2 linked regions of the Mus musculus genome follow. The protein of the gene in region 1 interacts with the protein of each later gene in a pairwise test. Links are inferred from orthologs where the notes say so. Each region holds a gene or a part of one and is shown on either strand. Other genes may lie near its edges.

Evidence for each region.
Region 2: the proteins of Bmx (region 1) and Ptpn21 interact in binary tests that used the Homo sapiens proteins (3 or more experiments, as listed by UniProt). The link is inferred for Mus musculus from reciprocal best matches to the Homo sapiens genes BMX and PTPN21.

What each region holds. Positions count from the first base shown.
Region 1 is NC_000086.7:164,202,485-164,206,301, reverse strand, and holds part of Bmx (cytoplasmic tyrosine-protein kinase BMX), read left to right. Parts: intron 1-917; coding exon 918-1,134; intron 1,135-3,047; coding exon 3,048-3,112; intron 3,113-3,817. UniProt on the Homo sapiens protein: Non-receptor tyrosine kinase that plays central but diverse modulatory roles in various signaling processes involved in the regulation of actin reorganization, cell migration, cell proliferation and survival, cell adhesion, and apoptosis.
Region 2 is NC_000078.6:98,688,782-98,692,598, reverse strand, and holds part of Ptpn21 (tyrosine-protein phosphatase non-receptor type 21), read left to right. Parts: intron 1-2,970; coding exon 2,971-3,817.

The sequences.
Region 1 (3,817 bases):
AATTACACAGATAGTTCTGTCCTATGTAACTAGACTGGTATATAAAGCCAAAGAAAGCCCCTTGGTGTCCCCCTTTCATAGAACATAAAATTAAAAACAAAAACTTTCTTGGTATATGACATAGTGGTGTCTCCTGGTGAAATATTAAAGTGTATTTTGTCACCAAAGTGTGTTATAAATAATCTGTAAAATTAATCCATGCTCTGTGGAGGTGGAGACAGTAGCACCCCTGGGGCTCACTGCTCAGTCAGTGTATGCTGCTGGGCAAGCTTCAGACAAGTGAAAGACTCTGCCCAAAAGGAGCGTGGTAGCCTTTCTGAAGATGACACCTGAGGTTGTCCTCTGGGCACCACAGAAAAATATACATGCATGTGCACATTCATAAGTGTGTACATGCATGCATGCATGCACACACACACAAATGAACACTTTTTTAAAATCAAAAGGAGAGAGAACAAAAGAAGAGATATAAACAAAGGATTATATGTAGTCTCACTTCCACAAAGAGCAACCATTTTTATGTTACATACACCCTTCAAATTAATATATTTTGTCTACACATAACACTACTCTGATTCTTGGGAGACAAGCTGAATGCAGTATCTCCAGGCTGAGAGCACTGCTGAGTGGCTGTGAGATTCACCAGTCTCAGATCTGAGGCTGAGATCTGTTTTCTTTCCTGCCTTCAAACATTATTGTTTCCCAAAACAAGATCCAAAGCTCCCTGACATCCCTCTCCCTCTCCCTCTCCCTCTCCCTCTCCCTCTCCCTCCCCCTCCCCCTCCCCCTCCCCCTCCCCTCTCCCCCTCCCCTCCCCCTCCCCCTCTCCCTCTCCCTCTCCCTCTCCCTCCCCCCCTCTCTTTTTCTTCTGCTTGGGACATCTCGTAAATGAACTTGTCAAATCGATTCTTTTTCAGGAAACTCAGCCATCCCAAGCTGGTGAAGTTCTACGGAGTATGCTCAAAGAAATACCCCATCTATATAGTAACTGAGTATATAACAAATGGTTGCTTGCTTAATTACCTGAAGAGTCATGGGAAAGGACTAGAAAGTTGCCAGCTCTTAGAAATGTGTTATGATGTCTGTGAAGGCATGGCCTTCTTGGAGAGCCATCAGTTCATACATCGAGATTTGGTAAGCTCATGAGAGGAGAGAAAAACATAACCCACCATTCCCTCCTCCAGGGACAGGGCTGCTGGGAGGTCTGACAAAGAGGAGGCCTTCACTTTACTTTGCACATTGTGACTCCTGTAAGCATGTGATGGGTTTGTAATAAAAATATCACAATTGTAGAATACAATATTTGAAAGACGTATAGAGCCATCAGAGCAAAATAAGTCATGAGGCTCTCCATAGCTACCCGTGCTGTGATGTGAAGCACAAACGGAATGACTCAGGCAAATTTAGTGTTTCTCAAAACCACTGAACTGAAGTTGACTCTGAGAGCCTACTGGGAAAGCAGTGACTTGATACAGTAACTAAAAAGTCAAAGAGGGGGATGGGGCAGAAAGAAAGTGTGTGTTTGGGTTGGGGCAGGAGTTCTGAGTATTGTTTGGTACTCGCTGGTCTTCAGCTTTAGAGACCTCCTTCTGCTGAGGCCAAGCACACTGCTCATAGCAGGCCAATACATCCCATAAGCCTTGCATGACTTCCAAGCATCTGGGAATGCACAGGATCTAGTGGAAGTCCTTGATAAGCTGAGATTTTTTTTTGTTTCTTTTTTTTAATTATTTTTTATTAGATATTTTCTTTTTTTTAAATATTTTTATTAGGTATTTTCCTCAATTACATTTCCAATGCTATCCCAAAAGTCCCCCATACCCTCCCCCCCCCACTCCCCTACCCACCCACTCCCCCTTTTTGGCCCTGGCCTTCCCCTGTACTGGGGCATATAAAGTTTGCAAGTCCAATGGGCCTCTCTTTGCAGTGATGGCCGACTAGGCCATCTTTTGATACATATGCAGCTAGAGTCAAGAGCTCCGGGGTACTGGTTAGTTCATAATGTTGTTGCACCTACAGGGTTGCAGATCTCTTTAGCTCCTTGGATACTTTCTCTAGCTCCTCCATTGGGGGCGCTGTGCTCCATCCAATAGCTGACTGTGAGCATCCACTTCTGTGTTTGCTAGGCCCTGGCCTAGTCTCACAAGAGACAGCTATATCAGGGTCCTTTCAGCAAATGTTTATAAGCTGAGATTCTGTGTTCAAGTATATTTTCAAGTAGTTCAGATGCTTGGGTGAACATGCGTTTTTTGGAAAAAATGGAAACTTTTATTTTCTTTTTTATTAGATATTTTCTTCATTTACATTTCAAATGCTATCCCCAAAGCCCCCTATACCCTCCCCCTGCCCTGCTCCCCAACCCACCCACTCCCACTTTCTGGCATTCCCCTGTACTGGGGCATATGATCTTCGCAAGACCAAGGGCCTCTCCTCCCATTGATGGCCGACTAGGCCATCCTCTGCTTCATATGCAACTAGAGACACAGCTCTGGGGCGGGGGGGGGGGGGGTACTGGTTAGTTCATATTATTGTTCCTCCTATAGGGTTGTAGACCCTTTAGCTCCTTGGGTACTTTCTCTAGCTCCTTCATTACGGGCCCTGTGTTCCACCCAACAGATGAGTGTGAGCATCCACTTCTGTATTTTCCAGGCACTGGCATAGCCTCACAAGAGACAACTATATCAGGGTCCTGTCAGCTAAATCTTGCTGGCATATGCAATAGTGTCTGGGTTTGGTGGTTGTATATGGGATGGACTGTGTGGGGCAGTCTCTGGATGGTCCTTCCTTCTGTCTCAGCTCCAAACTTGGTCTCTGTAACTCCTTCAAGGGTATTTTGTTCCCCATTCTAAGAAGGAGCAAAGTATCCACACTTTGGTCTTCCAACTTATGAGAGATTTTTTTTTTTTAAGTTCAGAACAAACAGGATTGTGATAGGCTGTGTTGGATTTTGCTGAGACTGATGCTGAGGGGAGGAAAATATCTGAGTCTGATATTGGGAGGTTCTTGGTTGCTTTTACTACTTGGAGATTTTTGCTTTCCCTCCCAAGGCTGCTCGGAACTGTTTGGTGGACAGTGATCTCTCTGTGAAAGTCTCAGACTTTGGAATGACGAGGTAAGCCAGAAATCTCCCCAGACAGCTTTTCTTTCTGGTGTTCCCAGGAATAACATCAATCACTTCTAACACACTGCAAGCTGTAGTGTTTCCATCCATTGTAGTCAAGAATTTGATTTCAAGCTGGGTGACAGGATCAGTTGGTAGAGTGCTTGCTAAACAAGCACGAGTTTGGTTTTGGATTCCCAGCACCCACATTACATCCAGGCACTGTGGTGTGCCCCTAACCCCAGCAACTGTAGGGCGCAGATAGAAGGGCCAGCCATTCTAGCCAATCAGCTAGCTCCAGGTTCAGTGAGAGACCCTAGTTCAAAGATTAACTTGGAGAGGCTGGAGAGATTGCTCAGCACTTAAGGACTGCTTTTTTAGAGGATTCGAGTTGGATTCGCAGCATCTGTGTCAGGTTGCTCACAACTTCTTGTAACTCCAGCTCCAGGAGATCCAACACCCTCTTCTGGCCTCTTTAAGCACACACACACACACACACACACACACACACACACACACACACACAGAGAGAGAGAGAGAGAGAGAGAGAGAGAGAGAGAGAGGCCCTTGAACATATACACAATTAAAAATAAAGTATCTTTTAAAATGAAGATGTAAAGTAATTGAGAAAGGCATCCAACAGCTTCTGCATATACATCTATGAGCACACACATGCATAAACTATATCCCCCACACATAAGTTTTGACTATACTAAT
Region 2 (3,817 bases), on another chromosome or scaffold:
TCAGACTCGGTTTTTGTATTATCCCTCCCCGAGATGTCCTAGTGTAGTGCTTTAAGTTCCTGCTACTGCAGTTGTGTGCCCAGCAACAGCATCATGCTGAATCCTGACCATCTGTGTAGTTTGTTTGTAAACTGTGTCTAACTGTACTGAAGACCAGAGAGGTAGATACAGGCAGCAGTTCTTTATACAGAGGCTTGGGATCTAATTGTACAAACAAGGCTCAGGATGTGATCAGTTACCTTACTAAGAGAGCATGTATTAGCATGCCGTTTGTCATGTTGTGGGCACTTGAAGAGCTCTCTGGATCTAACAGGATGGCTGGATTTCATCAGTTCCAGGCAGGTTTGAGACTCGGTCTGCTGCTCTGGCTGGTGAGTGCTGTGGCACAGGAGAGGGGGCTGTTTAGAAGTGGGGTCCATTGCCCATCATGTGGGGGCTGGGATCTGAAGGGACACAAAGAACTGGTGTTGGCTGCACTTGTTGTTGTGGCCTTCTCTGCCAGTTGAGGATGTTCCCCACAGCAAGGAAGGCAATCGGGGAGCAGAGCTCTGGTGTGGATTTCAGTGTCCCCTGGGGCTGTCTCACTGCTGTCCTCTCCTCTGCATGTGGCCATCTGTACGTGCATGGTAGCCTCTCCAACCATGGGGACAAGGCTTCTGCCTCCCGTCTCCATGACCCTCATTCTCCTACCTCAGTCTGTGAGGGTCCTGCCATTTTCTTCTCACCTTTCTCTTCCAGCTATGGTTTGGATGACTTTCTCTTCCAGTTTGTCCTACACTGCATCTGAGACGGATGTCTCTGTGCTCTGGCCCTTGCTTCCCTCTCAGGGCTTTCCATAAATCATCTCCCTGCTCTGTGCTTTTTTCTTTCCTGATGGGGCTTCCCCAGCAGCTCCTTCTCATAGAGTTTCCATAATGGTGACTCAGTTTCCCCTCCCCACCCTGTCGTCATTCCTGGGTTCTACCCATTCCCCATTTGCCATGGCCATATGTGGGAACCCTGCATGGAGGCTCTCTAGCTAACGATAAACAGGCATTGAAGAACTGGTATCAGCTATCAGGGCTTGCTGGAAATTGAGTATTATATTTGAACTCATTGCTTGACCTCTAAGTTTGTTTCCAGGGCCCTTTATTGTGATGAAGTCACTCACTTTCTTGGTTATGTGGATTCCAAGCTGCATGTAATTTTGGCCAGTCAGCTAGCCAGCCATAACCTGTGACATCATACACTGTGTTCTCCATATCCCTTTCTCCACGTCCCCCGCTCCTGCTCCAACATAGGTCTTTTTCTTTCAGACCTCCCACTAGCAGCTCCGTCCCATGAGCTGTATCTTCTGTCTTCACACTCCTCAACTCACCAGACACAAAGATCCCCGCTGAATCTGTGATGTGCTCCACCATTCCTCGCCTGTGTCTACGCTCCCTTACCCTTCCTCCCCATCCCGCTTCCCACTGCTTGCTACTCTCTAGCTTGTTCTATTTGAGCAGAGCCTGTCTTTGCCCCTCTGATCTGCTACCCACACACCCTTACCCCAGCCACCCCGCAGTCCACAGGCAGTGGATTTACTTCTTGACCACAGTCCTTGTCTGCTGTGTGCTGTCAGGTGGGGCTCCGTTCCATGTTAGCCTGATCGGGGGCTCAGACTGGAGGAGCCTTTGCCATTGTGGAGGACCCACTCGGTTGGCCATGGCACTGGGAGATGGGAGGAGGAAGTCCTCTGAAACTGCCTCTTAACTCTGCTCACTTAAGCCAGGCGTGGTGGCTCACGCCTTTAATCCCAGCACTTGGGAGGCAGAGGCAGGCGGATTTCTGAGTTCGAGGCCAGCCTGTCTACAGAGTGAGTTCCAGGACAACCAAGGCTACACAGAGAAACCCTGTCTTGAAAAACCAAAAACCAAAAAACCAACCAAACAAAAAACCCTCTGCTCACTTTCTCCTTCCTGTCACTCGTCTCATGTATGTGCTCGGCACTAAGGGATAAAGAGGTACAGTTCTGTGTGCTCTTAGAGAGCATGAAGGCAGGGACACTGCCGTGGGTGTCACACTGGTCTAGGCAACATGGGTGAGGGATCTGTGACCAGAAAGGCACCTAGAGATCTAGCAATGGCTGAGAGCTCTGCAGACAGAGAAGCACAGGGTGGGGCAGGAGGAATGAAGAGGCTCTGAGAGCTGTGTGTAGCAGAACAAAACGTGCCCAGTGGGTAGTCACGGAGCTTCAGCAGCACACAGTATTTCCACGGGCTTTGACGGCTGACTTTGTGTTTAGCTTTGGAAATAGTACTCAGAAAGCAGTTCAGGGGAGCTGTAGGTCGAGTGGCAGAAAGACAGCCGCCTCTAGTCCAGACAGACATACTGCTGCCGGAGAGTTAGGAGCCCTGGATCCATGTCTTGCTCAACTGCAGGCTTGGTGGGGCAACTATAGTTATCTTAGCCTTATTCTTCTTGGTTTCCTGGCCTTTGGCGGTAACTTTTGGTTCTGACTACCAGTGACCCCCGTGTTGGGCAGGAAAGCTTTGTACCTGCTGTACACCGTGGTGCCCTTTTACGGTGGAATTCTTTTCATCGAGGAAGACCGTATGCAAACAACCTAAACCTCCAGTTAAGGAAGCGCTTACAGAGAGTTGCTATTTTCCCTAGCTCAGCATCGTGGGGTTATACCCCTACCCAAACTGGCTCCCTGCTGTCAACAAGTACCTCTTCCCCGAGTCCCACAATGCTCCAGAATGCCTGTAACAATGTTGGTCTGAGATTTGGCTAGATCCTCAGCACCTCACTTTAAGCAGACAGACAGACCTACCCCATCCTGTAGGTGAGGAAGCTGAAACTCCCCGGGGTAACAGTGTGACTGAAGATGTGTCACTTTAGCAAGAAAATTTACAAGCTCTCTCAGGGCCATCTCAGTATTTGGCTGGAATGATGGGTCCCACTTAATACATTTTCAGAATCTTCTAAAACCTTTTTCCTCCTCAGACAACATCTTTGTGCCCAACAAGAATGGATTCTACTGTCACTCCCAGACAAGCCTGGATAGAACCCAGATTGACCTCAGTGGTCGCATCCGCAACGGCAGCGTCTACAGTGCACACAGTACGAATTCCTTAAACACACTTCAGCCCTACCTGCAGCCCTCCCCCATGTCCTCCAACCCGAGTATCACTGGCAGTGATGTCATGAGACCCGACTACATCCCGTCCCACCGGCACAGTGCGCTCATTCCCCCGTCTTACCGCCCGACCCCTGACTACGAGACCGTGATGAAGCAGCTCAACAGAGGCATGGTGCACGCAGACCGGCACAGCCACTCGCTGAGGAACCTCAACATTGGCAGTTCCTATGCGTACAGCCGGCCCGACGCCTTGGTCTACAGCCAGCCCGAGATTCGGGAGCACCCTCACCTCACCTCTCCCCAGTCAGCCCACTACCCCTTTAACCTGAACTACAGTTTCCACAGCCAGTCTCCGTATCCCTACCCTGCCGAGAGGCGGCCAGTGGTGGGCGCCGTGAGTGTGCCTGAACTGACAAATGTGCAGCTGCAGGCTCAGGACTACCCAGCTCCAAACATTATGAGAACCCAGGTGTACCGCCCACCCCCGCCGTATCCTTACCCAAGACCTGCCAACAGCACCCCAGACCTGTCCCGCCACCTCTACATCAGCAGCAGCAATCCGGATCTCATCACCAGGCGCGTCCATCACTCAGTGCAGACCTTCCAGGAGGACAGCTTGCCCGTGGCTCACTCTCTGCAGGAGGTCAGCGAGCCCCTCACAGCAGCGCGCCATGCCCACCTACAGAAGAGGAACAGTATTGAAATCGCAGG